Linked DNA regions of Alligator mississippiensis. The protein of the gene in region 3 interacts with the protein of the main gene of each other region in a pairwise test. Links are inferred from orthologs where the notes say so. Each region holds a gene or a part of one and is shown on either strand. Other genes may lie near its edges. The genes, in order: CSRNP1, SSNA1, TCEANC and TARBP2.

Evidence for each region.
Region 1: the proteins of TCEANC (region 3) and CSRNP1 interact in binary tests that used the Homo sapiens proteins (3 or more experiments, as listed by UniProt). The two-hybrid records come from large-scale screens. The link is inferred for Alligator mississippiensis from reciprocal best matches to the Homo sapiens genes TCEANC and CSRNP1.
Region 2: the proteins of TCEANC (region 3) and SSNA1 interact in binary tests that used the Homo sapiens proteins (3 or more experiments, as listed by UniProt). The two-hybrid records come from large-scale screens. The link is inferred for Alligator mississippiensis from reciprocal best matches to the Homo sapiens genes TCEANC and SSNA1.
Region 4: the proteins of TCEANC (region 3) and TARBP2 interact in binary tests that used the Homo sapiens proteins (3 or more experiments, as listed by UniProt). The two-hybrid records come from large-scale screens. The link is inferred for Alligator mississippiensis from reciprocal best matches to the Homo sapiens genes TCEANC and TARBP2.

Annotation. Positions count from the first base shown.
Region 1 is NC_081828.1:209,389,875-209,397,531, forward strand, and holds the start of CSRNP1 (cysteine/serine-rich nuclear protein 1), read right to left. Parts: upstream 3,016-7,657; 5' UTR 2,932-3,015; intron 1-2,931. UniProt on the Homo sapiens protein: Binds to the consensus sequence 5'-AGAGTG-3' and has transcriptional activator activity. May have a tumor-suppressor function. May play a role in apoptosis.
Region 2 is NC_081835.1:47,569,349-47,576,590, forward strand, and holds the start of SSNA1 (microtubule nucleation factor SSNA1), read left to right. Parts: upstream 1-4,242; 5' UTR 4,243-4,297; coding exon 4,298-4,349; intron 4,350-4,446; coding exon 4,447-4,646; intron 4,647-7,242. Other genes in the region: ANAPC2 (anaphase-promoting complex subunit 2), read right to left, coding at 2,685-3,307, 4,120-4,206. UniProt on the Homo sapiens protein: Microtubule-binding protein which stabilizes dynamic microtubules by slowing growth and shrinkage at both plus and minus ends and serves as a sensor of microtubule damage, protecting microtubules from the microtubule-severing enzyme SPAST.
Region 3 is NC_081824.1:324,616,345-324,623,723, forward strand, and holds the start of TCEANC (transcription elongation factor A N-terminal and central domain-containing protein), read right to left. Parts: upstream 3,014-7,379; 5' UTR 2,927-3,013; intron 1-2,926.
Region 4 is NC_081838.1:8,695,207-8,702,123, forward strand, and holds the start of TARBP2 (RISC-loading complex subunit TARBP2), read right to left. Parts: upstream 3,019-6,917; 5' UTR 2,925-3,018; coding exon 2,866-2,924; intron 2,502-2,865; coding exon 2,332-2,501; intron 2,242-2,331; coding exon 2,136-2,241; intron 1,744-2,135; coding exon 1,660-1,743; intron 1,511-1,659; coding exon 1,336-1,510; intron 1,109-1,335; coding exon 991-1,108; intron 524-990; coding exon 396-523; intron 315-395; coding exon 122-314; intron 1-121. Other genes in the region: pleckstrin homology domain-containing family A member 3, read left to right, coding at 3,773-3,812, 4,296-4,412, 4,670-4,825, 5,225-5,361, 5,648-5,818, 6,123-6,166, 6,400-6,533, 6,857-6,912. UniProt on the Homo sapiens protein: Required for formation of the RNA induced silencing complex (RISC). Component of the RISC loading complex (RLC), also known as the micro-RNA (miRNA) loading complex (miRLC), which is composed of DICER1, AGO2 and TARBP2.

The DNA.
Region 1 (7,657 bases), on a different chromosome or scaffold from region 3:
CCTTCCAACGGAAGAAGGAAAATTATCTGCCACTGCTCTCCGTGCAGATGAAATGAGCTAAAAATGTGTGTGTGTGGAGGGGGGAGATACTAAGGGGTGACAAAGTTATTTGAAATATTTATTGCGTTGTCAATTCATAAGTAGAGTTCGTGCAAACACGATTCTCAATTAATGGGAAAAAGCTTTTAGTGAACTGCTCCCTCCACCCATTACACATTAATTCTAACCCCCTTCTCCCCCACCCCCCACCCGCCTCCTCTTTTCATGATTTTGAGTTGGAACATTTCCCAGGTACCGTTTTCAAAACCTTTGCATGAACTGTACCAATACTGTCTCCCCTACTGAAAAGTGTTCAACTGAGAGGACGGTCATCCTTTCCACAACACCCCCAAGCATCTGAGAGCAGGATTTGGGCTAATGGATTGAATAGTGCCTCGAAAATTTCTCTCTCATAAAACACTGGCTGCTCAGCCAATAAAACTAGAAAACCAATTCATAACCGGTGAGGATATTTTAATTGCTGTGATTCCACAATTCTCTTTTCTGCACAGGACGTAGATAGGGATTTAAGATGAAGCCATAGAAACTGCAAACAGCAGCTTGGGGGGGAAAAAAAAGCTTCTAAAATTGCAGTTACAAAGTCTGCAAGTCCTGTATGCTATGGGAGGGGTTTTACCTTTTTTTAAAAAATATAACCTGAAATAAAATAATCCCATCTTCCTTTCACTGCCAAAAAGACATTCTGTTCTTGGCTACAACTTCTTACTCATCTATTTTACTGAAAACAGCTTTTTGAACAAGTACATAATGCAATGGATCAAACCCACAGGAATTCCTCTCTGGCATCACAACTCCCACTATCCTGGGAATACTTTCTAACAAATATTTAGCCCAGATGTGCATTCCTCCCTCTCTCTCTCTTTAAAACATCAAACTTGGGGAGGAGGGAGGAGAGGGGGTTATATCTAGTGGGGAGGGGGAAGCAAACTGCAGTCTGCTAAATCCTATTCCTGGCTCTCAGCAAGTTGCAGGGTGAAGCCCTAATAAAACATTAATTCCTTGCATTCCAGTGTAACTACCCTACTCCTGGGCGACATGTCAACAGTGAATATTTCGAGTCATTTCGATTTAAGAAGGTTTGGCATTTGTCTAGCCAGCCAAAGAGGAAAGCAACCAAAAACAGTACCAGGGCTAGTTTAGTCTATTTATAACAAACTTCACATTGAAACATTAGGGCTGTATATGCAACTCACTGTTCCTTTTTGTTGCTGGAGAGGAAATTATTTACATGATACTTTTGAGGCCATCACACACGGCTACACTGTGTATGAAGCAGGGGGCACTGCAGCAGCCACGGGCATAAAAACTCAGAAACTTCTGATGTTCAAGCCAGTAGTTGTAATTTCGGCATCTGCTAATCTCGGTGGCCGTAAACTGGCCCCGCGCTCCAGAAACCCTCTCCTGCAGTGTTTATCCACCGACAGGGGTATTTTAAAATTTAGTCTTATGTTGGGAGGATGCCAGAGCCTGGATAAATGCAGAATTGGTGCAGAAGTAATGGGAAGCCAACTTTATTCTGAAAAGCAGCTTTGTAAAATGTAATGGACTTTAAAGATCTTCTTGTAGAAAGCTTTCTGTCAAAGTCTGCACACTTCGCAAGCAAAAAAAAAAGATGAGCCCCCCTCCCCAATAACATCAGCCTCAAACATGGGAATCAGGGTGGATTCCTTCTGCCTGTGAAGATTTTCTGGCTGAAAATTAGTTACCAATTCTGTTCATGAGTCAGATTAGGATCCAACTCACTTCCCCCGAGCGATGGTAGCTGTGCAGGTCTGACAGGAGTAAATATTAGTTTAAAAACAACCACACACATTTTAGTCAGGCATGACTGAAAACACTCCTGGAGCAAGGCTGGAGAACGAAAGTGCAATTGTTACCGTCTCTTTTCAGACTAGGTGGCACTCATCTACATGCTGCTGTTTACTGAAGGTCAGATGACCTTGGTATCTCGCATTAGCAGAAATTTAGTGTAGAGCACTGCTTTTCATTGCGCTCCCTGACACCCTCACAGGACGCTTTCGCTGCAGCCTTTCGATTATTTAATAATCATTACTCTGCCCCTGGTTCGCTGCGCAGTCATTCAAGCTCTTTTAATAAGCTGAGTATTTACTCAAGTGGTTTCCATAATGCCACTGTGATATTCTTCACCCTTACAACCGATTTTGATTTACGATTTCTGGGAAAGCGCCCATAAAAAGAGCCAGCCTCGATATAGACGGGGAAGCGTACAGCCAGGCGCAGTCGGCTTGCCCGCAGCTTCCCAAGAAACCGAAGCCAGGCTTTCCCGTTCAGACTAGATCATTTTAACTCAGCCGGGTTTAAGGTTTCATAACCTCCCTCTGGGTAAAAATAGACTCTTGCCTACCAGGCGATGGCAAAAGCTGAATTATTCAGTGCCACCGAATAAAAGCCTGAGTCAGTCTGGAGCGTCAAAAGTTTATGCCTGTGGCAGTGACGGAGCCGGGGAAGTACATCGGGAGCAGGAGGATTTAGGCAGCGCGCGCCGGCCCCCGCCCCCAGCCCCGGGCGCGCCAGAAGATGGGTTTGCCATTTGCCCTCCACACACCCCTGCTTTCTCGGAAAGGGCCACGGCCGCACGCGCACAGCGCCCAGCAACACCGCGTACAAAGGAGGTGCGAGTCCCGGCGCTGCCGGCACGGACAGCGCGAAGTGCGCTCGGCCTAGGAAACTCCTCGTCCGCTCCCACCCGCGGCATGGTCCTTCCCGTTTGTTCTCCGAGGGGAGAGGAGAGGCACAGCCCGGGCATCGCCTCGGCTCCCGCACCCGCAGCCGCAGCCTTCCCCAGCAGGCTCGCACCTGTCCCGTCCCCGCCCCGCAGCCCGGACCCCGGACCCCAGACCCCGCACCTACCGGGACGGAGCGCGGCTCAGCTCGCACCGCGCGCGGCTGCGGCAGGTCTGAGCGCCCGCGCCTGGCTCTGCGGGCTCCGCGCTGCGCCCCGCCCCGCCTCCGCCCCCGCCGCCGCCGCCGCCGCCGTCACGGGAAAACTCCGGGCTGACGCAGGCGGTGACAGCCCCGCGCATCCTGCTCCTCCCCGGCCCCGCCGCGGCGCTCGGCCTCCGGGGGAGGCGCCTGGAGCCCGCGCAGCGCCGCCCGGCCCAGCCCAGCCCGCCGGCCTCAGCTTGCCCGCCTGCGAAATGGGAGCGCACGGCCTGGCGCGGCTTGGGCTTAGCCTGCTCTGGCTCGCGGCGGGGGGCGACTTCAGCTCAGCGAGCGGGGGAGAGCGGGGGTTTCTTCTCCCTTCCCTCCTCTGCTCTCCTCTGCTTACACACACACACACACACACACACACACACGTTTCTTCTCCTTTCCCTTCCTCTGCTCTTCTCTGCTTCCAGGGAGACACACACACACACACACACACACATATATATAGGGGTTTCTTCTCCCTTCCCTCCTCCGCTCTCCTCTGCTTACACACACACACACACACACACACACACACACACACACACACACACACACACACACACACACACACGTTTCTTCTCCTTTCCCTTCCTCTGCTCTTCTCTGCTTCCAGGGAGACACACACACACACACACACACACACACACACACACACACACACACACACATATATATAGGGGTTTCTTCTCCCTTCCCTCCTCCGCTCTCCTCTGCTTACACACACACACACACACACACACACACACACACACACACACACACACACACACACACACACACATTTCTTCTCCTTTCCCTTCCTCTGCTCTCCTCTGCTTCCAGGGACACACACACACACACACACACAGGGGTTTCTTTTCTTTCTCCTCCTCTGCTCTCTCCTCTCTGCTTCCAGGGAGATGCACACATATATATCGTGAGTGTGAGGACTGCCTGTATATATATATATATATATATATATATGTGTGTGTGTATACATATATATGTATATATATACAGGCAGTCCTCAGACTCAGGACACAGAACTGCCTCTTAAGTCGAAACATTGTAACTCAGAACTGATTTTCCCATAGGAAACAATGTTATTAATGGAGGATTGGTTCCTGAACCAAGGCCAGATACCCTATTTTCACCAAAAATAACACAGAATTTTGTAGTCAATCAGTTATAGGTAAGTAATATAGCTACATTAATGTGTTTATATTGTAAATAGGAATCCTATTGATTTGGAAGGACTTCTTTGAGGAGACTTTGCTGGACTTTTTGAAGGCCTCTTGGCTGGAGTCTTCTCAGGAGTTGTGGCTTCAGGTTTTTCTGGAGTCTTGTCTGCTTTCTTAAAGAAAGTGTCCAAGGAAGTTTGGACAGATGAGAGATAGGGGACGCAGCAAACTTGTTCGCTGGCGTGGTGTGCCATTGGATCAAGCATTGTAAAGTCAAAACAGACGTCAGAAAGGTGAAACAGGGTGCCAATGTATAAACGTTGTAAGTGCAAAAGGTTGTAACTCAAAATGTTGTCTGTGTGTGTGTGTGTGTGTGTGTGTGTGTGTGTGTGTATGTGTATAGATATATATAATTTGTGTCCAAGGCCAAGTTAGCCAAAACTGATTCCAAATCCAAGAGTCCAGAACCGTAAGCGGCCCCTGAGCCGACCCAAGCAGGGTGTGGAGGGCTCAGGGCAAACCAGTTTGTGCAGGGCCCACCCCCATCCCGATCCCTGGATGCAAAGAAGCCGGCGGGGGAGGGCAGCGAGCAGCCAGATGCAAAGCCGGTGGCAGCAGCGCAGAGTTGCCACAGGCACTCCACCCAGCTCCACGTGGCCCCCCAAACCACAGGGCCTGGGGCTGTCCCCCTGATTTGCGCCCCCCAGGGATGGCCTTGAGTGGCCCTACTACTGGCAAACATCCTCCACCCTCACCTGGGGCTTCAGATGTTTCCAAAACCTTTGGTAGGCATCCTGCATGCAGGCCCAAGCCCGGAGGTTTGGGGTTCAGATGCCCCCGAGTTTTGCTTGCCCTCACCGTAAGGCCCTCAGAGCAAGCAAGGAAGGAGACTCCCATTTCCATAAACTGGATTTAAAGCCGCTGCATCTCAGCGGGTACCGAACCACACCAGGGGAGTTCTCCTGCAAGTCGGTTCAGGAAAACCGCTTCTTGGACACAGATACGTGGTATTTCCCCTGCCAGGTTAAGAAGCCACTACACTTGATGCTTTGAGGGAGAGACGCTTTATTTTGTGGACTCATAGACACTAGGGACTGGAAGGGACCTCGCAAGATCATCGAGTCCAGTCCATCGAGTCTGCAGGGATCAAGTGATCCCCACAAGATAAACATCCAGACGCCTTTTGAATGAGTCCAGAGTAGGTGCTTGACCTCCCTCCAGGGGAGTCTGTTCCAGACCCTGGACACCCAGAAGATGAAGAAGTTTTTCCTTATGTAAAATCTCAATTGGCCTTCTAGGAGTTTGTGGCCAGTAGAGACAGGCAGCTGCTTGGCTGGGGCAGCCGAGCTGCTGGAGTCGGTGGCTTCTTAAATCGTGACGTTGGCGTTCGTTTTCTTGAGGTCGGTGTGTCCGTGTAGCATTTCCTCCAGTCACCGCTGTTGCCAAGCTGGGAGAAAAGCATTTGTTTTGGGAGTCAAGAGCATCATCTGGTGCAGCAAAGTTGGTGTTTGAGGATCACCAGCTCAATGCTGACTGCAGCAAGGCTTTTAGAATTGACTTCGATGAACCACCCAGGAAATGCAGCTGCTTCAGGGGTGGAAGGAGGAAGGTAATGACAAGGAGGGCTGGAAAAAGGGCCTGGATGACAGAGAAGGACATGGGGCTGCATAGCCCAACTAAAGCCCTCTTTTCCTCCTGTTTGGAAAGACCCCATAAGTCACACAGCACTCACACTCCCCATGCCAAGGGCTGGGGGATGAAGCCCAGAGCTGAATGTCTGGTGTTTGGGAGACTCAGTAATCCAAAACCAAGGGTCATGCCATTAAACCAGAGTAAAACTGGTTAAAGAATAACACTGGGAGCTCCTTTTTATGGTGTAATGGGATGGAGTAGGGGAGTTTCAGTAATGCTGTTTTTCCTCTTTTTTTTTTGTTTATTGTTTTTTTTTTTTTTTGCTTGAGGTACCTTATCTGGAAGACTCCTAAAAGCAAAAGAAAGAAGCAAGGGGGGCTGCTCTGTTTCAAAGAGAACTGAGCCTGATGCCAGTCACAAGCCTGATGCCAGTCATATCTCTCAAGAGCGGGCAAACATCGACTGCTATGCCAGGCTGTGCACCACACGTTTTCACCACAGTGCAGCATTTAGGGTAGGAGATGGGGGAGTTCGCCACCCAAACCTTCAGCCTCTTCTTGTGACTTCAGGGTTAATGAAAGCTGTCAGTGGACTTTGCTGGAAACCTTTTATGGAGGGAGCAAGTCAAACTGGCCCTCCAGCATTGCTCAGCCCTGCTGTTAAATGCCCAATGCTTGCAAGCTTCAACAGGAGCAAGCAGGTTGAGAAGAGGTCAGGCTTTTCAGCAGGCAGTGTCACTAGGGGAAGGGTGTTGGGCAGTCCCAGATAGGATGGGCCGCCAAGGGTGGTGTAAATCTCTGTGAGGCCTGGATCCAATCCAGCAGACAAGTGCCTGTGGCAGCCAGACCCTAAATGATAACTTTGCGCCAACTTTGTGGAGTTCTCCTGCATCCACACTCAAAGCTCTTCTGGGCTGGCAGAGCCCTCCTGTCTGCCAGCAGAGTTAAACCACATCAGCTGCCTGGAGTAACACTTTGGCTACTGCCTGGCAGCTGGCAGAAAGCATGTGCAGACATCCTGGCACCGTTTAGCTTCTGTGGTCGCTTCAGTAGCTGGTGCCTTCCCAGGGTGTGCTCTGCACTTTGGCAGCCCAGCTCCCCAGTGAGGTGTGTGAAGGCACTAGAAGGGCACCGGGTGAGCACTCATGTTGCACCAGAAGCAGAAAAGTATAGACTGGGGTGGACAATTGTTTGGGCTGGAGGGTCACTTAAGGAATGTTAGGGAGCTGTAGAGGGTGTGGTGGGGATGAGAGGGGAGTGCTGACTCAGCCTTGGCCCCCTTCATGGCTGTTTACAGCACCCCATGCAGTGGGCAAGGGACCGGGGAGATGCCAATTGATTCTATCCAAACCTGGTGCCCGTCCACCACGCACCCACTGCTGGGTGCACCAGACAGAGTGGGCAGGTGAGGTCTCCATGGAAATTGGCCTGGGGCCCCCATGGGCAGGGCATGCTTGGCTGGGCAGACGGGATCGCGGACAGGGAGCGGCTTTCAGGAGTGGGATGTGCAGGCAGGTCCAGGGCTGGGATCACACAGCAGGGACAGCGCAAGGCCAGGCACAGAGCTGTGATCCGCCCCTTGCATGTCCCTGTGACGGGTGCCAGTTCCATGGGCAAGGGCCGGCCGCTGCCTGGGAAACTGGCACCCAACGCATGAACATGCAGGGAGTGGATTGTGGCTCTGCTTTGGCCCCCAGCCCCACCGTCACCACTCCACAATCCTGGCCCCAGCTCCAGTTGCCCGTCCCGCTCCCAGATGCCACTCTCTGCTCGTCCGTGGCCCCATCCCATCTGCCCAGCTGAGTGCACCTTGCATGTAGGGATCCTGGGCTGATCTCTATGGAGATCTCACCCCCCTCATGCTCTGTCCAATGC
Region 2 (7,242 bases), on a different chromosome or scaffold from region 3:
TGGAGAGATAGCTCTCACCCCTCAAGTAAAGAGAGGAGGGCTAGATTTTCAGCAAAGGGACTATCTGGAGCTTGTATAAAGTTGATATAAAAAATAAAAAGCCAGAGGTTTTAAACAGAATAGGAATCCCTGAACCTTTCCAGAGTTCAGGATCCACTTTTGCTTGCTGTTTTATATCCAGGGATCCTGGTTTTCCCCAATAAAAAAACCTGCAAATTGTCTGATAAAAAACCCGCAAAATTTCTTATTAAAACTCCATGATTAAAATGAAAGGGCACTAATAGAGAGAGAGAGAGAGAGAGCGAGAGAGAGGTATCAGTTGAACACAATACTTTCTTGATAATATTTATCATTTAAAGGAATTTGGAAGCCTACCTGTGCCTCAATCATTATAATTAAATAAGTTCTAAACACCTATAAATTTTGGTATTTGATTTTGGGTTATCATGGAAAATCAGAGCTCCCTCTGCCCCCTTAGCTCACAGAACACAGGTCCAGGTCCCTCACTCCCAAGCCACAGCCCCCCCAGCCCTGCTGGTGCTCCTCAATGCTCACCCACAGCCCGCTGGACCTTGCCAGTGCCCCTCACTCCTCCGCACAGCTCCCCCAGCCCTGCTGGTGTCCCTCACCCCCCACCCACAGCCCCCTGCCCCCCTAGCCATACCAGAGTGGGCCCCCAGCTGGCAGGGTTACAGGGCCAGGGGTCCAGGTCCGCAGCGCTCTGCCCCTTGCAGCAGCTCCACAGCCCCAGCTGCCACCCACAGGAGGTGGCAGCTGCTGCAGCGGAGTGAAGCGGAGCACACCCCCTCCCCTGCCAGCTGTGGGCTTGGGTGGGGCCAGCTACCCATCGCTGCGCTCACTCGTGCCCCCTGATCTGTGCATGGCGCAGGGATGGGCTGCCTGCTGCGGGCTTGGGCTCCCCACCCTACTGCCCCCCCCCAGGCTCTCCGCAGCCCAGCAGGTGTGACCCAGTGTGGCAAAAAAGAGCGGGGCTACACACGGAAGCTCACTGCTGCTGCAAGCTCTGGGCTGCCCTGGCAAGGCACCCCCTGCCTGCATGGCAGCAACGAGGGCAGTGGTGTAGGGTTGTACCCCTCTTTGCTGCCATGTGGGCAGGGGATGCCTTGCCAGGGCAGTGTGGAGCTCTCAGCAGCAACGAACTTCCCCACGAGGCCCTGCTCTGCCCTGCCCTGCCCTGCTGGATCACACCCACCAGGCTGTGGAGGTCCCAGGGGAGGGCAGCAGGGTGGGGAACCCAAGCCCACAGCAGGCAGCCCGCCCCTGCCCAAATCCCCTACCCTGAGCACAGATCTGGGGGGTATGGGAGCCTCCTGTCTTGCAAGGAGCGCGCACAGTGGTGGGGAGCTGGCCCCACCCCCTGAACGAAGTGCCCACAGGCCCTGTCCCGCTTCTCGCCAGGGCCCTGAAGCTGCGCGTTCTGACCCCAGGCCACACACCCCACACACCCTCCTGGCTGGGCAACAGCTTCAGCCCCAGCCTCACCCCCACCCAACTCCCCCCTTCCCTATGGGGGCTTCAATCCCCCTCCGCTCTTCCCTGCCCCTGCTGCTGCCAGACCTACCTGCAGAGCAGCTCTCCAGGCTGCCTGGTGGCCATGTGTGTATACATACACATGACACCCCCTGCCTGAGCACCCTCCTGCTGCTCCCCCCAGCCCCTTGCAGGCTGGAACTCTACCAGCCTGCAGAGAGCTCTTTGCAAAAGTGCAAAATCTGTGGGTTTCTCCATTAAAATGAAAAATCCATGTTTTCCTTGGGTAAAGGGGGAAACTGCATTTTTCTGTTTTTCCATGGGAAACGGAAAACCCGGATCCCTGGTTATATTCACACGAGCTCTCCAGTTGCTTGTAATATCCTCTAGCTAACACACTGCAGATAAGAACTGCTTTCTAATGGAAAAACAAGCAAATATTTTCTAAACTCCTGTTCAGGCCTTATGTAGTGCCTCTTACATATCATCCTTAAGGTCCCAACAGAAGCATTAACGAGGCCACACTACACACGCAGGGTATGTGTGCACTATTTAGTACCTTGAAATTTGGCCAACTTCTTCAAGATCTTTAGTAGGCAAACGTGGACCCTTCTGGATCCCAGTGTATGCGCAAGAGGTCACAAGGACCTTCAATGCATTTGGCTACAAGTATGGAGAAGTGGGGGGGTGCCCAGACCTTCTATTCCCCCTTTAGCCCATTGAGACAGTATCCAAAGGCCAGACAGTATGGACATTTGGTGCCTCGACAGCTGTAGTTATAGGTGCATCCAAGAATCAAATCCAGGTCTCTCATGTGGCAGACAAGGATTCAACCACTGAACCACAACAGCAGGTTCAAGATCTTTAGCATCTGGGGAAAAGAAAATATTTCGCCTAGAATCATTGTCCCCAAAGGGAATACAAGCCTAAAGGGAGGTGATAATCTCACAGCAGTTACCAGGACCACTCTCCTGTTTGTCAAAGATCTGCTGTAGCTCAGCCACAGGTTATGGGCTAGATGCAGAAATCACTGGGCAAGATTTTCTGGACAATGCCTTGCAAGAAGCAGACTAGGTTAGGATGGACCTTTCTGACTTTCATACCCATGACAGGCCTGTAGACAGTCTACTTTCTAAATGGTATATTGATTCTGTCCAACAAATCCCTTTCCTCCCTCCCTCCAGGATACATACAGGATCTCACTGAGCTGCTGAAATTGCTCCATGGCTGTGGGACACCAGCACTGGTCTTTCTTACTGTTGCAGCCTGCACACTGCTGGCTGTCTCCTCCTCCCTCTTCTGTATCACTCTCTTGATCATTTTCACTCATACTGCTCTCACACTCATTCATTCCATCTTCTCCTTTCTTCCACTGCTGCATATATATCCTGAAGGTGCGGCTGTAGAACTGCTGGATCATCTCCTGGAAGGTCTTTGTAGTGGAGAAGAAGAGGATGGCTTTAAACATGGTGTACACTTTCTCTCGTAGCATCTGGGAACCCGTTCCAAGGAGCAAGCCTGCTTTGGTCCATTTTTCCAGAAGATCTAGACTGTTTAGATAAGGGTCTAGGCGGCACTTGAGCAGACAAAAAGCATCCAGGAGGAGTAAGGAGCACTGGGGCTCCTCAGCTGTGTTTTCATACTGGCCAATGCAGTTCCAGAATTCAGGAGCTATATTTGTCTGAAGATCTGTCTGTAAAACTTGAATGAACCATTCCTCTATGACACAGTGCAAGTCATAGCTCCGCAGCACTTCCAAAGCGGCCTGCAAGTCGCTGTCCTTCAGCGGTTCCACTGGTCCAGACCTGGGTGCTGCCTAGAGAGAGACACCAAGGTAAACGAAAGCAGGGACTCCTGAAGGGTGACTGAGGCTGGAGAGACAACCGGACTCAGGGGGCAGTCTACAGATGGAGCCACTCACCAGCCGACCCTTTGCTCTTGTCCACAGTAGGGCATAGCAGGGACTGAAAGCTACCAACTAACTGGCATCCGGCATCCCTCCTGGGCAGAGGGGCGGAGGTCTCAGCCCCACTCCTAATGGGTCGCTGTTCACATCACAAGGGCGACTGCTGTTGTGGTATTAATGCCGACTGCATCCCCAGCTGACATGGGAGCCGTGACCCGAACGGGCCCCGCTCCATCCCCTCTGCGGGTCACGGGCCACTGCCAGGCTCTCTCCAGCCTGAGCCAGCACACGAGGATGTCCTGCGCCAGGGCCGTCAGGGCGAGGCCTTCCACGGCATCGCTGCACTTCGAGGGCGATTACAGAGCACAAGGAGTGGGGCACCCTCCTTACGTACCCGTGAGCAGGAGGCCGGAACGGCGGCCACGTCGGAGACGACCGCGCGCGCACCTGCTACGCGCCCCCCTCGCGCCCCCGCGGAAATCCCGTGACAAATGTCAACGCTGGGAGCTGTGACTTGCCGCAAGGGGCCTTTTCCTAAGACATCCCCAGGCCCCAAGAGACTGCGCCCCCCCGCCCCCTCGAGGCCTGCGGGCCCGCTCGCCCCTCTCTGGGAGCCGGGGCATCGCCCCACAGCCGCCCGGCGGGGCTCAAAACAAAACCCCCGAGACCAGGCGCGGGGAAGGAGCGGGGCTGCGCTCCGCCGCCCCCCGGCCCGCACTCACCAGCCCCAGCGCGGCGGGCGGCACGAGGCCGGCGCCCAGCGCGTGCCAGCCCGCCGAGAGCCCCGCGCCGGGGGCCGCCGCCGCCATGGGCCGAGCGGAGCGGGGCGGGACGGGGCGGGGCGGCGCGGGCGCAGGAGGCCGTTGGTGGCGCGGGGCCGGGGCCGGGGCCGGGGCGGCGATGGCGCAGCAGGGGGCGGCGCTGCAGAGCTACAACAACGAGCTGGTCAAGTGTGAGGGCCGGGTGCGGGGCTGGGGCTGGGGCCGGGGCGCGGCGCGGCGGTGGCGGGGGCCGCGGGCGCTGAGCGCCGTGCCCCCCGTGTGGCGCAGGCATCGAGGAGCTGTGCGCGCGGCGGGACGAGCTGGGCCGGCAGATCGCGCGCGAGGAGGAGGAGAAGGGCAAGCTGCAGAGCGACATCCGGCTGCTGACCGAGCGCCTGGCCCGCCTCAACGAGGGGCTGGCCCGCAAGATGGCCACGCGCAACGAGTTCGAGCGCACCATCGCCGAGACCGAGGCGGCCTACGGCAAGGTAGCGCCTCGGCCCCGCGGGGCGCGGGAAACCGCCCTGAGCCGGCTGCAAACACGCCTCCTCCTGCAGAAGCGGCACCTGGGGACTTTCCCTTTGCAGCCCGCCCCGCACGCCGGGGTCCCGGCCTGGGGAGAGGGCGCCGGGTCGGGACGGGCCACTGATGTTTACAAATGGGGCCTGGTACAAAAAAGGTTGAGAAGCACCGTGATATTCTGGGGGGGCTGCAGCATGTAGTTTTGGGGCCCCCCCATCCGTGGGAAAATCACAGCTGCGGTAGAAACTGGCTGAAATGAAATGGGCCGGGCTGCGAGGTGGGTGCGGGGGGCTGGGGCGGGAGTGGGGCTGGGCGGGGAAGGGGCTCCCTGCCTGCATGGAGCCCTTTCAGGGTGGCGCAGGCGGCAAGCGGGCACGGCCCCTTGGCCGCAGGGTAGGACAGGCCGGCCTGGAGAGCCGCTGCTCTAGAGTAGTGCGGGGCCAACCTTTCTTATGCCGCAGATTAGCCCCGTGCCCTCCCTGGGTGTCACTGATCCCCTTTCCCTGCCCTATCTGCAGCTCTGCCTTCTGCTCCCTGCCCTTTGCTCCCAGTGCCCAGTCTCTTCCTCTGCTTTCAGCCAGCTCTCTGCTTTGTGATCCCAGTCTGATCTGCTCCCTGCTCCATCTACTGCTGTGCTGCCTGACCCCTCCGCCGGCACAGGCCGCACAAAGGATGCCCATGCAACTTGCAGTACTCGTGCCGTAGGTTGGCCACCCCCGCTGTAGATAGCCATAATTCGGCACACTGTCAAGAAGAGCTGGCAGCAGCAAGTGTAGCTGTGCATCCCTTCTTTAGCCTTGTGCACCAAATGGCTCAGTCAGCTAAAGGGTACTTGGGCATCTTGTAATGGACAGGGCTTAGAGGAGGATCTTGTGAGCTCACCCTAGGGAGTGCTGTCTCACAACTGTGAATGTAGAGAGTCAATTCTTGAAGACCCACAGTTACCAGGAATTAATGGTTCTGTCTAGCCCAGGGTACAAGCATGGATCATGGTCAATAATAAGGGTTGTGAAGGAAATCAAAATAGTGGAGGAAGAAGAAACTTGAACTTGTCTTCACTGCTGTGGGATTTTGTGCTGGGGTCTGTCTTTCTCTCTATGTTTGCCTCGCCCCTCTCCCAGTGGCCTTCCAGGCACGACTCTTAGTAGCTTACCCATTCTTAATCTCTTATCTCCTCTGAGCCTTCCCCTCTTTAGATGAGGACTACTGATCATAGTGACCTTCACTGTGCTCAAGGCAGCATTATGGCTTCAGAGAGCATTTGCTGCTGATTGTCCTAGATCAGTGTTTCTCACTCTGTTGGTTGTGACCCAAAAGTTGGTCACAAGACTATATAAAAGGGTTGTGAACAAACTTTAAAAATTGATCAACAAACTTAAAAAATGGATTCTCTTTTAGAGGAGAAAAACGTGGAAAACCGAGGCTCTTCCCTTGCAGACTGGCAGAGTTCCAGCTTCCAAGGGGCTACTTAGGGGCCCCCATGCCCCACGTACTGGGGGCCTGGGGGTGGGGGGCAGTGGGTTGGGCCTGGCCATTGATGTTTACAAATGGGTCCTTGTCCAAAAAAGGTAGAGAACCACTGTCCTAGATCACAAGGGACAAAGAGCTTTGGGAGGAGTAAGCTCTGTGTTGTCCCCAGGGGAACCCTTAAGGCTGTTGCGTTGTCATGGCAGAAGCGCTGCCTTGCATTGTTTCTCCAGTGTTGCCATGTTTGAGTTATGGGAAGACTGGAAGGGTGTGAAAAGCTCATGGCACTTGCAGTTGTCACGGCACAATCATGTTGTGGCTTGTGTGTGAACTGTGCTTTAGTCCCTTAGTACTTAGTGTATGAGTGTAACGAATGGAGCTTGGAAAAACTATGTAGCAGGGCAAGGAGACATTTCCCTTTCCAGATATGTGGGTTGTGGGGCAAAGAGGATAGTGTCTGCAGAAAGTGGGTCAAGCAGGTACTGCTACTCTGGCAGGAAGGAGGGATAAGTAAACTGCAAAATCCCATGGGGGTCCAAGACCCATGCAGCTGCCAGATACAAGTTTATTTATGTAGAAATTAAAAAACAGGTCTCACTGGCAAGCCATGAAAGAGCATTCGTTATTGGCCATTAGGCCTGTGTGAAGTGGCCAGCATTCGCTTCGGATTTGGCCAATTCGGGGGACAGTGTTTCGATTTGGTGATTTGAATCACTGTCCCGAATTGATTTGCCCGAAATCGATTCAGAGATTTGGCTCCTGTCAAATCTCTGAATGGCCCAGGCCCATCCCCTGTCCGCTCTCCCAGCCCACCCCAGCTCCCGGCATTTTGAAAAAAAAGAAGCCCCGACTCAGCAGGTGCTGCCAGTTGGGGAAGCAATCCCCACTGCTCCCCACTGCCCCGTGGGGGGCTCTGCACGAAACCTCTGCCCCCCTTTGCCCCCCAGCTTCCCTGTGGCTGCTCTACTCGCTGTGGTTCTGGCCCTTTAAGAAGAAAAAAAAAAATGAGAAAAACCCCAGACTCACCTTCCTGCTGGCGGGGCAATCCCTGCTGCCCTATGCCACGTGGGGGGGCTCTTCCAAGGAGATTTGGAG
Region 3 (7,379 bases):
ATAATAGGTTCCAGAATAGTAACTCACATATTAATAACTGCTGACTGTTCTTTTTGCAAGCTCTTTAAGACAAAGGACTTTCCTTGTATTTTCTGTAAAATACCTTAGCTACATATTAAGCTGCAGACATAATGCTTTCACAGGACAAACTTGCATGAGGTCTTATTTGCAACAAAATGAAAAATAAAGGGCATTAAGAATGCAGTCATGTGATTTGACTGGGGGGGGGGTTCTCATTATCTTCTGACAAAATTCAGAGTCCTTAGAAAAACTGTACAGCAGACTAGCAATACTAACATTTTCTCTGCTTTGATGTTGATCATAAGTTTAAACTTGATGAAATATAGTCTAAAGTGCACACCTGCCCTTGTAAGTTTAGTGAAAGAAAGACAGTTGCAGGGATCAATTGTACCAAAAGTAGTGTTTTATCCACGTATCTCTTCTCATGCTGGCCAGCCGAAAAAACCTGAGACTGACAGTAACTTCAATGAGTCCTTAAGAAACTTAGGTCTGTTACATACTTCCATCCTCAATCAAAGTCTCTCGCTGTAGCACTGTCAATGGTGAACTGATAGAATTCAGCAACACAACTTGGGATGGGCAAGTAGGCAGGGCTGGACATAGGCATGGGCAAGCCGGGAGGCCGCCTGGGGCCTGGACAGAAAGGGGGCCTGAAAATCAAAGACTTTTGCAACAAAAAAAACCCCTTATTTCTGGCAAAGGGGTGCCCAATACTAAAAGTTCGCCTGGGGCCTCCAGGAGTCTAGGTACAGCACACCAAGTGGGATACCATCCCTGAGTGACAGATTAGTAGGGGTGCCAGTATCACCCCCACCCCTTTGGAGTCTCAGCAGGAGAAGCAGCCCCATGTACAACATCACTCTTGCAACAGCAGCTGGGTGTGTGGACACCATGCTGCTGCTGTAAGAGCAACAGCCAGGGTCACGCTGTTCCCCACTCCCATGTGCTCTCTTGGAGGGTTTACCCAGGGCGTAAGCCATGCTCATTATGCCTCTGATAGAATTCACATACTCTGCAGCCCTATGCAGGCAGAAACCACACTTCCTAGTCTGATTTATGCTCCTGATCAGCCTCCATGCTCTCAAAGGCTGTTTTCAAAGGCTGGGAGCGGGGAAAGGGCTGAAAATGAGAGAAAAAAATGATTGGGGAAGACAGAGTGAGGGAGAAATCAAAGAGAGACATCTGAAGGACTCTCAGAGATGACAAATGGTTAGAGGAAATGTGAGGAAAGAAAGACATGGAAAACATGACCATCAAGAACTACAAGAAAGAGGGATGGTCAGATTTTCTTATCTTTCCCCCCAAGTGCCATTCCCTTTGGTTCAAGTCTCCCTTTTAACCATCATAAATATTCCCAAAACAGCCTACATTGCCTGAACTTCTCCTGGAGCATACATTCTAGTTTTTCACTTTGAAAAACACTCACTTTGAAGATCAGCTGGACAGAACAAATCTACTGTGAAGGCTCTTGTGATCTAACTCATGACATTTTTCAGAATGAAAGAAAACTCTGTAGGCACACAGAGTACACATTCATAAAGTGGAGGGAGTTAAAGACAGTCTTGAAGCAGACAGCACCAGGGAAAATGTAGATTGAAGTGAATATACAAATTATTAACAATCTACACAACTGTTCACCGGGAAAAACTAAAGCAAGAAGCTCAACTATTTTTGTAGACGGAACCCATCAATACGCTTGATGGAACTTTTCAACTTGTAGAGTTACAAAGATAATTTTCTGCAAGTGAACTAAATGTGAACCTTTTAAATGTGAAATTATGTAAACTAGCAGTTCCCAATATGTGGTATGCATATAACCACTGGTACTCAGACAACCTGTCAGTGGTACCCGTTAGCAGATTTGTTATAATTTCTTTATATGACAAAAATTTGCAACAAAAGGTTGAACTGAAAAATTTGCTGGTAGTACTTAGGTTGTATCTATTTAAACTGGTGGTACACAATCTGTCAGTGTTTGGGAACCACTATTGTAAACCAATGCAATGTTGTCTTTTGAGCCTGCAAACTCCACAACTTACAGGATGTAACAAGACATTATTTATTAGGTTTTGTTTTCATAAGTGTGAACCACAGCTCAGTCTTCTTCCTAAACTGACAGATGTCCTCTACTAGCAACCTAATCTGCCCCCCACGATGTTAGATTAAAATGAATTGTGATTTTGATGTGTATAGCCACAACTGAAAGGACTCTCAAGCATACTTCTGAAAACCTCCAGAAGAAAAGACCAGATATATTTTTCAGTTACATTAGTTGAACTGCACATATAAGTCTCATGTTTGGTTTGGAAGTGCATGCAGTCTGAGACAGTAGGAATCTTTGTTTGTTAACATAATGAGCCCAGTATCACACTTGATGAGTTTCCTGTTTTCCATAGATCAAACAGTTGGTGCTGGAAGAGCAGATAGAGTTGGTGACCTTTACTGCTGGTCACGGGACATGTGGCATTAGCTACATTACCAATTCAATATGCCTTGTCCTGTACTTTAGGATCATCAAGGATCCCACTAATATCCTCACCTCCGTTTCCAAACATAAGCATTTCCAACCTTTTTACAAGAACTGCAAATACAGGCTGCAGTATGCTGCTCCGTGCTATAAAATGCACAAATCCTATATTCGTGCTTTTAATATGTACATGCACCCAGGCAGTACTTAAAAACACTTACAGGTTTTTGGAATCTTCCAGGTGCACAATGACTTTTGCAGGACTAAAAAACTAAACTCATCCAGGATTTACAAGATTAAGCCTGTCTAAGAATTTACAAATCATAGCAATAGCCAAAGATAAAAACAGATCATGGATTACAAGTAACATATAATGTCTTGAACAACTACATGAGGATTTCTTATAATCTTAAAGAGTTTAAATGATAGGCTACTTACACATAAAGCAAAACAGGCATGTTTTCTGGAAGCTTTTCTTCATAGGATGATATATGAATTTAATTAACAGTAAAAAAGAACTCATCTGCTGCCAAAGAATCTATGTAGCAAAGCTAAACAGAAGAAACAGAGAAGTTAAAGCAGAATTTTACAAACATGTACAAAAATTAACTAGAGCCCAGCTGATGTGATCCCAGAAGAATAAATGCATTTATTCAAGTGGGATATTTATTACCAAGTGAAATAAAAGAAACCCTCACAAGAGGATGCCATTTAATCAAAATATCTCTTCATTATGAAGATAGAAGTAAGTTCTCATAGGAAAACAACAGTTAGCAAGGCAAAGGGAATGTCTAAAGTTTCTCTATCATTATCAGCAAATGATTTATCTTGGAACTTAATCAAGTTAATAAAATACACTCCATTAAAATAACCTTCAAATTAAAACAGCAACTTTTTATAAATGACATGGGCAATCAGCGTCTTCAGGTCACATCTAGTACTGTAAGTAAAAACGAAAATGTTGTAAGTGAACACAGCCATCCCCACATACAAAGGAAACACATTTGGGGGATATCTAATCGCTATTTTCCTATTGTTCTAGTGTATCAGGTTTACCAAGTAAATTAATTGAAGCATCTGTTAAATGCCCACTACTTCTAGACATTTAACATATACTGCCATTAATCTACTTGGCTGGACACTGTGTTCAATGAAGTAAAGTTTAAAATAGTGTTCAGAATTGAAGTGTTAGTTTATTTAAATTACAGCAGCAAGAAGGTAAATATCATGAGGGACCTATGACAACATTATTTTTAAATGCAAAGAAAAGGACAAAAGCTTTTCCCAAAATCAGGAAATCAGAGGTAGTCAACAATTACCCCAAATACTCTGCCACAGGCAAATGACTAGCCTTTATTATGTTCCTTCCACTCAAAAAAGACAAATGGGCCTCGTATCATGTCCTGAATGTCACAAAAGTTTTAGAGCAAGAGAATGGAGTGAATGTCAACATCCCTTCTCACTTTGGTTGCCACAGGTTACTGGTAAACCAAGTTTTTCCACCTAGCAAGAACAAGGACAGAAGAAGAAATATAGAGACTATTTCATAACTGAGGACAAAAGATCAAGATAAAGCAACAGAGGTGCATGGTAAGGGAACAGTATTCTCCCTCCAAGCTCTCTGGAGATCAGGATAACCAGCTTACAAGGATGGCTATCATCTAAACCTGCCCCCCTACTCAAAACTGCACCATCATGTAATACCAGACATGTACCAGGATCAAATGCTACTTACCCTAGAGCAATCCTAACACAAACAGAAGATCAAGAAGGACAGACAGCCCTCCGTATCTGAGATGGCTCCATTTCAGTTTTGCTAAATATACTTAGTTTGTGAAAGGTCCTAAGATACTTTAGGATGAAAGTAATGTATAAAAGATAAAGCTCACCCCAATTGTTGCATCAATGTTTTATTAAAGTAAGAGGCAATATTAAAAAAAACAAAAAACAAAACATGACTGGTATTAGCATAATTACTGCCTTCTAAATTGTGCCATGACTCTGGAGTTCAAATGCTTCCTTTGACAAAGAAGAATAAGTATGTCAAATTCTGTCATGGCTCATATGTTAGCAAATGGTGAGTCATGTGTTCACTGAAGTATGAAGTGCCTGAAGGACCACGTAATTTTCTACTGGAGAATTCCTCCAGAAAAGCAGTTAAAAGTTTATTTGAATGGGAAGGAAATGGGGCTGTTTTTGAAAAGAACATGTCTTTAATTCTGCCTCTGAACTTGAAATACTGGGACACCCACAAAGACAAGGGTGCTTGGTAATTGCCCAAGGATCTATGCTGCTCCCAGAGCAGCTATGCTGCAGCATGATCCCTGCCAGCCACTGCAAAAATCTCCCCTCTTAATATATTTGTAGTGACAAAGGAGGAGTTATTGCTAGTTCAGTCAATTTGGGGTATATTTTCTGACAAATCTAATCAGGACCCAAGAAGAGGGCCCACTGTGGCAAAAGTTTGTCAATCCCTGCTTTAGAGAACTCTGTCTGAGATTTTAAAATACAGAACTGGATTTTGTTATCACCAGAGGGAGCTGTAGTATCGTAAACCCATGAACTCTTGTTAAAAATGCACACTGCATTGACTTCCCTAACTAGCCTTAATGCAGCTGGCAAGGGAAAGAAAAAGCAAAGGATGAACATTTCCTGTATTCCAGAAGCTTTTTATGTCTAATTTATTAGAGACCTTACTTGTCCAAAGTTGGTCTCACAAATAACAGGTTGAGATGTCTTCCAGAAGGTCTGAGGTGTTGGGATATGAACGGAAGGGAAGACAGGCAACTCATCCAGTCACAACCATCTATCAAATAGCTTTTGGGGAATTTCAAAAATTCAAAGGCTAGTCAAATACTGTTTGCAGATGTTATTCATCAAATGCTGGTTAAAATCACTGAATAATATATTCAGTGGATATTAATTTTTCTGTTGTTTGGGCAGCCCTGGTAGTAAGGTATATTGAGGATACCCCATGTTCTTGGGAACAATAACTATGCCATTCATTCTCTGTGTATGAAAAAACATAGCCATTTTGGGTGCTACTTCATGTAAAATAACAAGATAAAGGTAGCAGTGCTATAATGAAATATTCTGCTGAATATGAAAATATTGCATTTTACACATAGAACCAATGACATTCTCACAGGCAGATCTTGCACCCAGAAACTTATCCTGCATCCAGTATCCTCTCCTTCAGTCAAGAAGGGGATACCGGAGATATCAGCAAAATGGTATTTCCTTAGGCTAATCACCACCACCACTCAACAGTAGAGACTGTTCACAATTTCAATTCATACCAATGTCTCCAAAAACCGCATTAACATTAATACCAGATGCTTGGACTGTTCCTTGGGTTTCACCTCACATTCTTGTACTTTCCAATTATTTCATAGCATTTCAGAGATTTTGTTGTCAACATCACTGAGCTAACTGAGGCAAAGATTCACATCTGTCTTGTTGTGGCTGTGATGGTCCAGGAAATATATGAGAAGCAAGGTTTTATTGCTCATATCTTTTATTAGACCAACTGTATAGTTGAGAGAGATGTTAGATGAGCCTTTGAGAACAAAGTGCCCTTCTTTAAGTTTGGTAAAGAAGCTTAGGCTGCCTTGGTCCTAATTTACAAAAAAGTTTTTAACAAATTAAGTCTCAGATACATTAAAGTCCAAAGTCTATTCTATAAGCCACAATGATTGCCCTAATCCTCTTGGAGGAATGAAAAGCACAAAAGCAGGTGAAAGCTGGGGACACAGTATTATTTTTAGATAGAACCAACTCAGCTACAGGAAACACTTCCAGAGACAAATGGGTAAATATGGTCTCATTAAAATCACCGCAAAGTATTTCCCTTTGAAAAGACCTTTCTACCTTAAGAGTGAAAGTGACAGTAGGGACATACCGTCTAACAAACTAACAACCAAAAGGAGAGAAAAAAAGAATTAATAAAATCTAAAAATCAAACTCCAAGCCCCTTCCCCAAAACGGAGAACTGTCAAAGACTTCACTATTGATACTGATTTTATACAGTGGAGATAGATATACCAGAGGTAAGCACCAATATAAAACCTTAAAATAGGTTGTGATTCTGTCCATTTTGGAAACTAAGTATGATAGTTATAGTAAATATTCGAAAAGCTATTCAGGATAATTCATCCAAGGAAGTGAGATCAGCCTTTTCTATTTATTTTGTGCATACATGAAGTTGCTAGGCTAAACAGGTACACAGAAAAAAATGTTCAGCTGCATTATTTATGGTCACACATGAAATTACTGTTATACAGAAACCTAGTAGATCATCCAGAATAAACTGCTGGGTAACTGAAATGTCACATTTGCTTCTGTCTGAAAAATGTGTGAGTAGGAAGATGGAGGAATATTTGTTTCCATGAAAGGCCTTTATTGATGAGATCTCTGTTGAAATTATATTTAAGGATTAATATGTTTAATCCTCAAATTACTATTTTTCTCATGTTCAGAGCTTTGATGGCAGCATTAGGCATGGATATATTTGAGAGGATATGAGAATGAGAATAGCAATAGACATGTACCAACTTCCATATTATTTAATTATAGGTAAGGAAATTACTTCTCTTGCAATTCTGCTTCTTAAAAGATAAATTTCATTGAGCTCTTATTCTTGAACACCTCATCTGAACCACTCTCAGATGCTGGTCCCTGCTTGACCTTGGCCCCATCCCATCCACCCGGCTGAACATGCCCTTTCATGGACTGCCAGGGTGGATGGGCAGGGGTGCTCAGACAGCAGGGCCAGGTCTGGTGGTGGTGGCAGCAGAGAAACTGGCAGCAGCAGCCAGGCCGAGTGAGCTGCCATTGCAAGGGATGCCAGGAAGCTAAATCCAGCCATGCTGGGGACATGCCTGGGGGCAGT
Region 4 (6,917 bases), on a different chromosome or scaffold from region 3:
GAGAAGGGACCCAGGAGCTAGTGCTAGGGGCAGGGATGGAGACACAGCCCAGAGGGGGTTGGTGGGAGGGAAGAAAGGGTCCTGGGGTTGGGGCTGGGAGGGTGCAGGGGGGAAACCTCACCAATGTCCAGGTAGCTGATGGCAAAGCTCTGCTCCTCGGACAGCTCCTGCAGCAGCCCGCAGTACCCGGGGCTGAGAGCGCCCAGCGGCTGGCTGCGCAGGTGCAGGATCTTCTCGCCCACTGAGTTGCGCAGGGAGTCCCAGGTGCAGCCGGGTAGGCGGCCACGTAGCCCGTCCAGCTTGGGCACTGGCGCCTGGCACAGGTAGAAAGAGGGGAGTGTGAGCTGCATGCCCATCCCCACCCACTACCCCATGCACCCCAGCCCTGCACTCACGATGGAGAACTGGTCGTCCTCGGCTTCGGCCTCACTGCCCTCGCGCTGCTCCATGGGCACATTGTGGATCCGCACCAGCATCTTGGCGGCTGCGTTCCTCTTGGCCAGCTTCTTGGAGGTGCCGCTCCCTGCAAGGTTGAGGAAGGTGGGGTATAATGTCGCTGCTGCGCACCTGGCAATGCAGGGTTAACTCTGGTACAGCGCGCAGAGAAGGCCGGAGTGAGGGGCATCGGCAGGGCTGGGGGGCAGGGAGCTGTGGGGAGGGAGGAGCAAGGGGCTGTGGGTGGTGAATGAGGGGCACTGGCAGAGGCAGGAGGCTGCAGTTTGGGAGTGAAGAGTAAGGGGCATTGGCAGGGGGGTGTCAGGGGCTGCAGGTCAGGAGGGAAGGGCACCAGCAGGGCCGGTGGGGGCAGAGGGCAGCGGGTCAGGAGTGAGGGTCACCGCCAGGGCTGGGGGGGCTGTGGGTCGGAAGTGAGGGGCAGCAGGAGGGCATGGGGTCAGTGCCCACAGGCCCCTGGTGAGCTCTGTTAACACCAGGGGCTGCGTGTCACTGGTCTGAGGCCAAGCCGGCCCCCGCCCCCCTGCCTGGGGTTACCGATCTCCATGAAGCGCTCGACGCGGCAGGTCATGGTGAACTCCTTGCGGTGCGCCGGCCCCGACTCCTGCGTCACCGTGTACTCGGGCAGGCGCCAGCCCTTCTGCACCACCAGCTCCTGGGGGCAGGGATGTGGGTGGGGTAAGTGGGCCCCTCCCTGGGACTCCCCCAGCCCCACCGGCCTCCAAGCAGAGCAGGTAGGGCAAACTGAAGCACAAAGACCTCCTGTCCTCCAGCTCCACCTGAGAGACCATACTCCATCCAGGTAGGAGACATTGCCTAGGCCAGGCTGGAACAAGGAGCCCAAGGGGATGAGGAACCCCAGCAGCCTCCCCCCCAGCCTACCTGCAAGGCACCCACAGGGTTACACTCGGACTGCTGGGGTGACACGGGTGCCTTCATCTCCAGCGGGGAGCTTCTGAGCGAGACAAGGGCAGGCGCTGAAGGGGCCCAACCTGCCCGGGCAGGCCCTTCACCCCGATCCCGGCAAGGGGCTGCTGCAGGGGTGGGGGATGAGCCCCTATGACAGACCCAAGGAAGCCCAAGTAGTAGTGGGGGGGAGACCCGGCCCCGTGGAGCTGGGGGGGGGCAGGTTTAGTCCCTGCAACGCCCTTACTCCACCCCTGAGAGTGCGGAGGGGCTCAGTGCCAACCCCAGGGCAGCCCTTACCTGGGCGAGGCAGCGGGCAGGGCGGGCGCGGGGGGGGCCACGGCAGGGTCCAGCGGGGGGAGGGGCTCTAGGGAGAAAGCAGAGCTTCGAAAATAAAAGGTACAATCATTAAAGCAGGCGGCGACCCCTGCCCCCCCACAGCTTGCCCTCACCTGGCGCGATGGCACCAGGACCCCACCCCGACCCACCCTGGTGCTAGGAGTACGGGCTGAGGCAAAGCCCGCTGGCACCCGGGACTCTGCCCAGCTCCTCCACCCCCACGTCCCAGCACCGCAGCTGGGGAAAGCGAGGCACGGGGCAGAGAAAGGACCCACCCGAGCTGCCCCCTGGGGGCAGAGACCCAGGTGTCCTGGACGGTCGGCTTCTTGCCCCTCCCCAAGACCCCCTGATCTTCCTCCCCCCCTCCCCCCCGGCTGGGTGGAAGGTGCTGGGAGGGGGGGGTCAGAGCAGCCCCCGCCCCCCCGCAGACCCCTCACCTGGGCTCCTCCGGCACCGCCGGCTCCAGCATGTTCCCCCCTTTCAGGAGCTTGAGGGCCACCTCCGCCGCCTTGTGCTTGGCTGCCTTCTTGCTGGGGCCCTGACCTGCGGGGGGCACAGAGCTGGAGCGGGGCCGGCACCGGGACACCGGGGTCCCAGCCGGACCCCGCCAGGCGGGGTGGGGGGGGCACTGACCGGTGCAGCCAATGTCGCCCACGGTGACGCGGAAGGTGAAGTTGGGCTGGTGCGCCTGCCCCTCCGCCTTCAGCAGGTCGTACACGGGCGTCTTGCCTATGCGCGTCCCATACTCCTGCAGGAGGCTGATGGGCGTCTTCCCCGGGTTGGAGGCCAGCATCTGCTCTAGGCTGCGGGGCGCGGAGGGGTCGGCCGGGGGCAAGATCCTCCCCCACCCCAGCAGCCCCAGGGGAGGCCCGATCCTGCCCCAGCAGAGCAAGGGGGCTGCCCCACTGTGCTCCCCGCCCCCCACCAAGAGTTAAGCCCCGCCCCCATGTTCTGACCCCGCCCCCTTGGAAAGCCTTGCCTTCATCGTGGATGCAGTCACGCCCCCCAGAGAAGCCCCGCCCCTCCAGAGAAGCTCCGCCCCCCGGAAGAAGCCCCGGCAACCTCATCCCGGGAGCAGCCCAGGCCCCGCCCCCGATGACGCCCCGCCCACGTGAGGCCCCGCCTCGGAGGAAGCCCCGCCCCCGAGGCTAGGCCCCGCCCCCGTACCTGGGGCAGGCGCCGCTGGCGGTGGCGCGGGGCTCCTCCTCCTCCTCGCCCTCGCTCATTCCCCCCGCCGGCCCCGCCCGCGCCGCCGTGCCTGCCCCGCACCCCGCCGGCCCCGCCGCCGCCCCCGCCAGCGCGCGCCGCCGCCGCAATGGCTGCGGGGGCCCTGGCGGGGGCGAGCGCGGGGCAGGCTGGGACAGCGAGGCCTCCTCGCGCCGGGTGGACTCGCCTGCCCGGCATGCCCCGCGCCCGAGCCCGCCGCCGCGCGGCATGCTGGGACGGGGAGGGCCGCGCGACCATTGGCTGGGGGGGAGGGGGGAGCTCTACAGGGGCTTCTTTGCGCGGCCGCGGGGCATCCTGGGAGCGGGAGTTCCGCTCAGCCTGAGGGAACGTTGGGCTGCGCTCCCGGCATGCCCCGCGCGGCTTGGCTGAGGAGCACGTGCGACTGCGCTACCCAGAGAGCTCCGCGCGCGCCGCCCCGGTGGATCCTGGGAACGGCAGGCTCCGGGGCCGCGGGACTTCCCTACCCACAACCCCCCGCGCGCCGTGGGGCCTGCTGGGAGGACTGCGTTGCCCACAATGCCCCGCGCGGCCGGAGGATGTCGGGATTGCGGCTTTCTCGAGAGAGCCGAATGGGGTCGGGACTACGCCTCCCACAGGTCTTTGCGTGCAAGGGGCGGGGCGATGGAGGCGGAGCCTTGCCATTGGCTGCGCGCGACCACTCTTCCCCGCCCCCTGCTCTTGCCTCCTGGTGCCCGGCTTGGCCCGCTGATTGGGTGCGTACCCCTTCGGGCCTCGCCCCCTGCGCCTGCCGCCCTTCTCATTGGCCGGCAGCAGTGGGGCCCGCCCCCTCCCCGCGCGGGGATTGGCCGGGCGCGCGGCGGCGCCTGGGCCGCGTCCTGCGCCTGCGATGGAGGGAGCGCTCTTGAAATGGACCAACTACCTGTCCGGTACCGCCGCCGTCCCGGCAGCCCCCGCGCCTGCCCCCGCCCTTTGACCTCTGCCCCGCCCTCCGCAACATCCCCCAGGCGGCCCTGACCTTTGACCCTTGACCCCGGTCCCTGGAAGGGAGCGAGGCTATAGTACTCTGCTGACCTTTGACCCCGATCAGAACACAATGCCCCCAACCAGTCCTGACCTGTGACCTTTTGAGCCCTACTACCCCCCCTGCAGTTGTCCTGCTTGCCCCCTCCTCTTCCCTGAGCTTTGACTTCTACCCCACTACCCCCAGCGGCACCAGGACAGCTGACCCCTGACCTTTGAGCCCTGCCCCCACCCAGAAACCAGGCGGGGCTCCGGTGCTCCTTCCCCAGCGGGGTGTGACCTCGGGGCCGGGGTCCCCCGTGGGACTGGGGCTGCCCCCCAGGTAGCGAGGAGGCGCCTGGGCTCCCTGCACCGGGGCACGACCCTCCTCTGCCTCCTTCCTCCCCCAGGCTGGCAGCCGCGGTACTTCGTGCTGGACAACGGCATCCTGTCCTACTATGACTCGCAGGACGACGTGGGCAAAGGCAGCAAGGGCAGCATCAAGATGGCCGTCTGCGAGATCAAAGGTGGGTGCAAGCCTGGGGACCCCCCCCCCCTGCCCCTGCTCCAGCCATTCCCACTGCAGGAGGGGACCGTCATGGCACGGGGTCTCCTCGGGCTGCCACGTTCCCCCCCAGACCCAGCCGCACCCGGAGTGCAGAAGTGCTGAGCTGGGTCTGGAGGCCGCGCGGGGCCCCAGGCATCCCGTCCTGTCCCTTGCTTGAGCCGCCTGTCGGCACTGGGACGGGAGCCCTGACCCCCGGTGCCGCCTTGTGCCCCGCAGTGCACCCCACGGACGCCACGCGCATGGAGCTGACCATCCCCGGCGAGCAGTACTTCTACCTGAAGGCGGGAGGCGCTGCTGAGCGGCAGAAGTGGCTGGTGGCCCTGGGCAGCTCCAAGGCCTGCCTGGGAGACAGCAGGGGCCAGAAGGAGAAAGGTAGGGCCGGGCTGGAATAGCACAGGGGGAAACTGAGGCAGGGTGGGGACACGCACTTGGTGCCTCCCCCTTGGGTCTTTTTGGGGGGGGGCTGCAGTATGGGGCAAAGGGGGTTGGGGGTGCCTGGCTGCAGTACCGCAGCGCAGCAGCAGGGGGCATTGTGCTGCAAGCTCCATCATTGATGTCTGATGAGCCCCTTCCACTTTCCTCAATGTGGGGCTGAGCTGCCCCCCTCCCCGGCCCTCCCCAGGACCATTTCTACCCACTTCCCGTCCCCTCCTGTAATGCACCCATTGCTACAGGTTGGAATGTTCCACCCCAGAAGTGGGTGCATCTCTGCCCCTACACGCTCTGCGGGAGGGGGCAGGGGCCAGGCTCACTGTGTCCATCACCTTCCAGACCCGCCCCTGAGCACCGAGTCGCTGGGCCGGAAGCTGTCAGAGCTGCGGCTGTACTGTGACGCGCTGACCCAGCAGGTGCTGGACATGCAGGAGTCCACGCGGCCCCGAGACGACGGCGCCCCGCTGGATGTCGAGGTGCCCGGGGGGAGAGGGGTGGGGGCAGCGTACCTGCCGCCACTTGCTCTGTCGGGGTGCTGGCAGAGGCTAGGTCCAACCACCTAAGCAGTGTCTGGCAGGGGAGTGGAGTATAGTGGCTAAAGCAGGAGTTTGGCGGGGGGCGGGTGGCATCTATCCCTCCTTTGCTCTTGGAAGCAGTTACCTGAGGCAAGCAGGCTCCCCTGCCCTGTGCCTCAGTTTCCCTGTGAACGAGAGGCTGGGTTGGGGGGTCGGGTTCCTCTCTGTGATGAGCTCTGTCCTCCAGAGGATGAACGAAGCCTCCTCCCTGCTCCGCGCCACCTGCAGCCAGTTCCTGTCCACGCTGGAGGAGTGTATGAAGTTCGCCAATGCCCGCCTGGCCCCCGAGCTGTACCCGCCCTCGCCCGCCCCCCTGCCCTCTGACTTCGTGGGTACCAAGCTCCCGCACTCCCACAGGGTAAGAGCAGCCCCCCCGGGGGTAGTCGGGGGTGCTGGGCTGCTGGGAGCAGGGTGCAGTTGGGGCACAGCCCTTGTGGGTACTGGGCCAAGCAGTGGCCCACCTGGTTACCCAGCATGCTTTGCTTCCTGGGCGTCTGGGGGAGTTATGGAGGTCTCTCTACCTGCCCTGCAGGACAGAAGTCTCCCAGCAGCTATTGAGGAGGGTCTGGGGGTGGGGCCTGGATTCGAACCGGGGGCTGGGCAGCTTCCACCTCCCATTGGCTCTGGTCCAGGGTGCTGATGGGCTCCTGCTGTCTCCACAGGTACGGCGGTCCCTCAGCCACACAGGCGTCGCGTCGCCCGACAGGTGAGAACTGGGCTGGAGGAGGGGGGTCCCCAAGTGGGCAGCTGTGGGCAAGGTGGGGTATAGGAGGGCTGCGAGGCATCCAGTGGCAACCCCCAGGAGCCAGCTGGTCTGGGCATGCCCAGAGAAGGGAGAAGAGCCCTGTCTTGAGCTCCTGACCCCTCGGACAAGGGGGGGGGCATGGGGCACCCCAGAGCTTTGTACCCTATGCCCAGCTGACATGCCCCCTCCTGCAGGGTGCTGGAGCCAGCTCGGGCCCGGGCCGCGCCGGCCCGGGGCACCATGACGGTGCTGCGCAGCCTGGAGGAGATGGTGCCACTCCGTGCTCAGCCTGGGACCCCCCCAGGCCCTAGCGCCAAGGAGTGGGGAGGTAGGCCCCAGGCGTGGGCCCTGGACCAGCTGGTTTCTGACCCAGTCTTGGGAACTGGGGGGCCCTGCAACCCTCCCCCCTGGGCATAGCTGCCCCCGGGACACGCTTAGCTGTCTCCAACCCCATGGCCAGGAAGGGAGCAGGGAGCCAGGACTCCTGGGGTCCATGCCTGGCTGGGCTGCCAACCTGCTTCGAGGCTGTGGGCAAGGTCTCTCCATGCCTCGGTTTCCCCTAGGATGGTGACCTGCTGGAGGCGTGGGGGGAGGGGCTGTGCCAGCCCTCCAGCACATGGGTCTCCCTAACCCCTCGCCTTGCCTTCCCAGAAGCTCCACTGCCAGCGCAGGAGACATCAGCGGATGGTGAAGCCAAGCGGCCGTGAGCCCC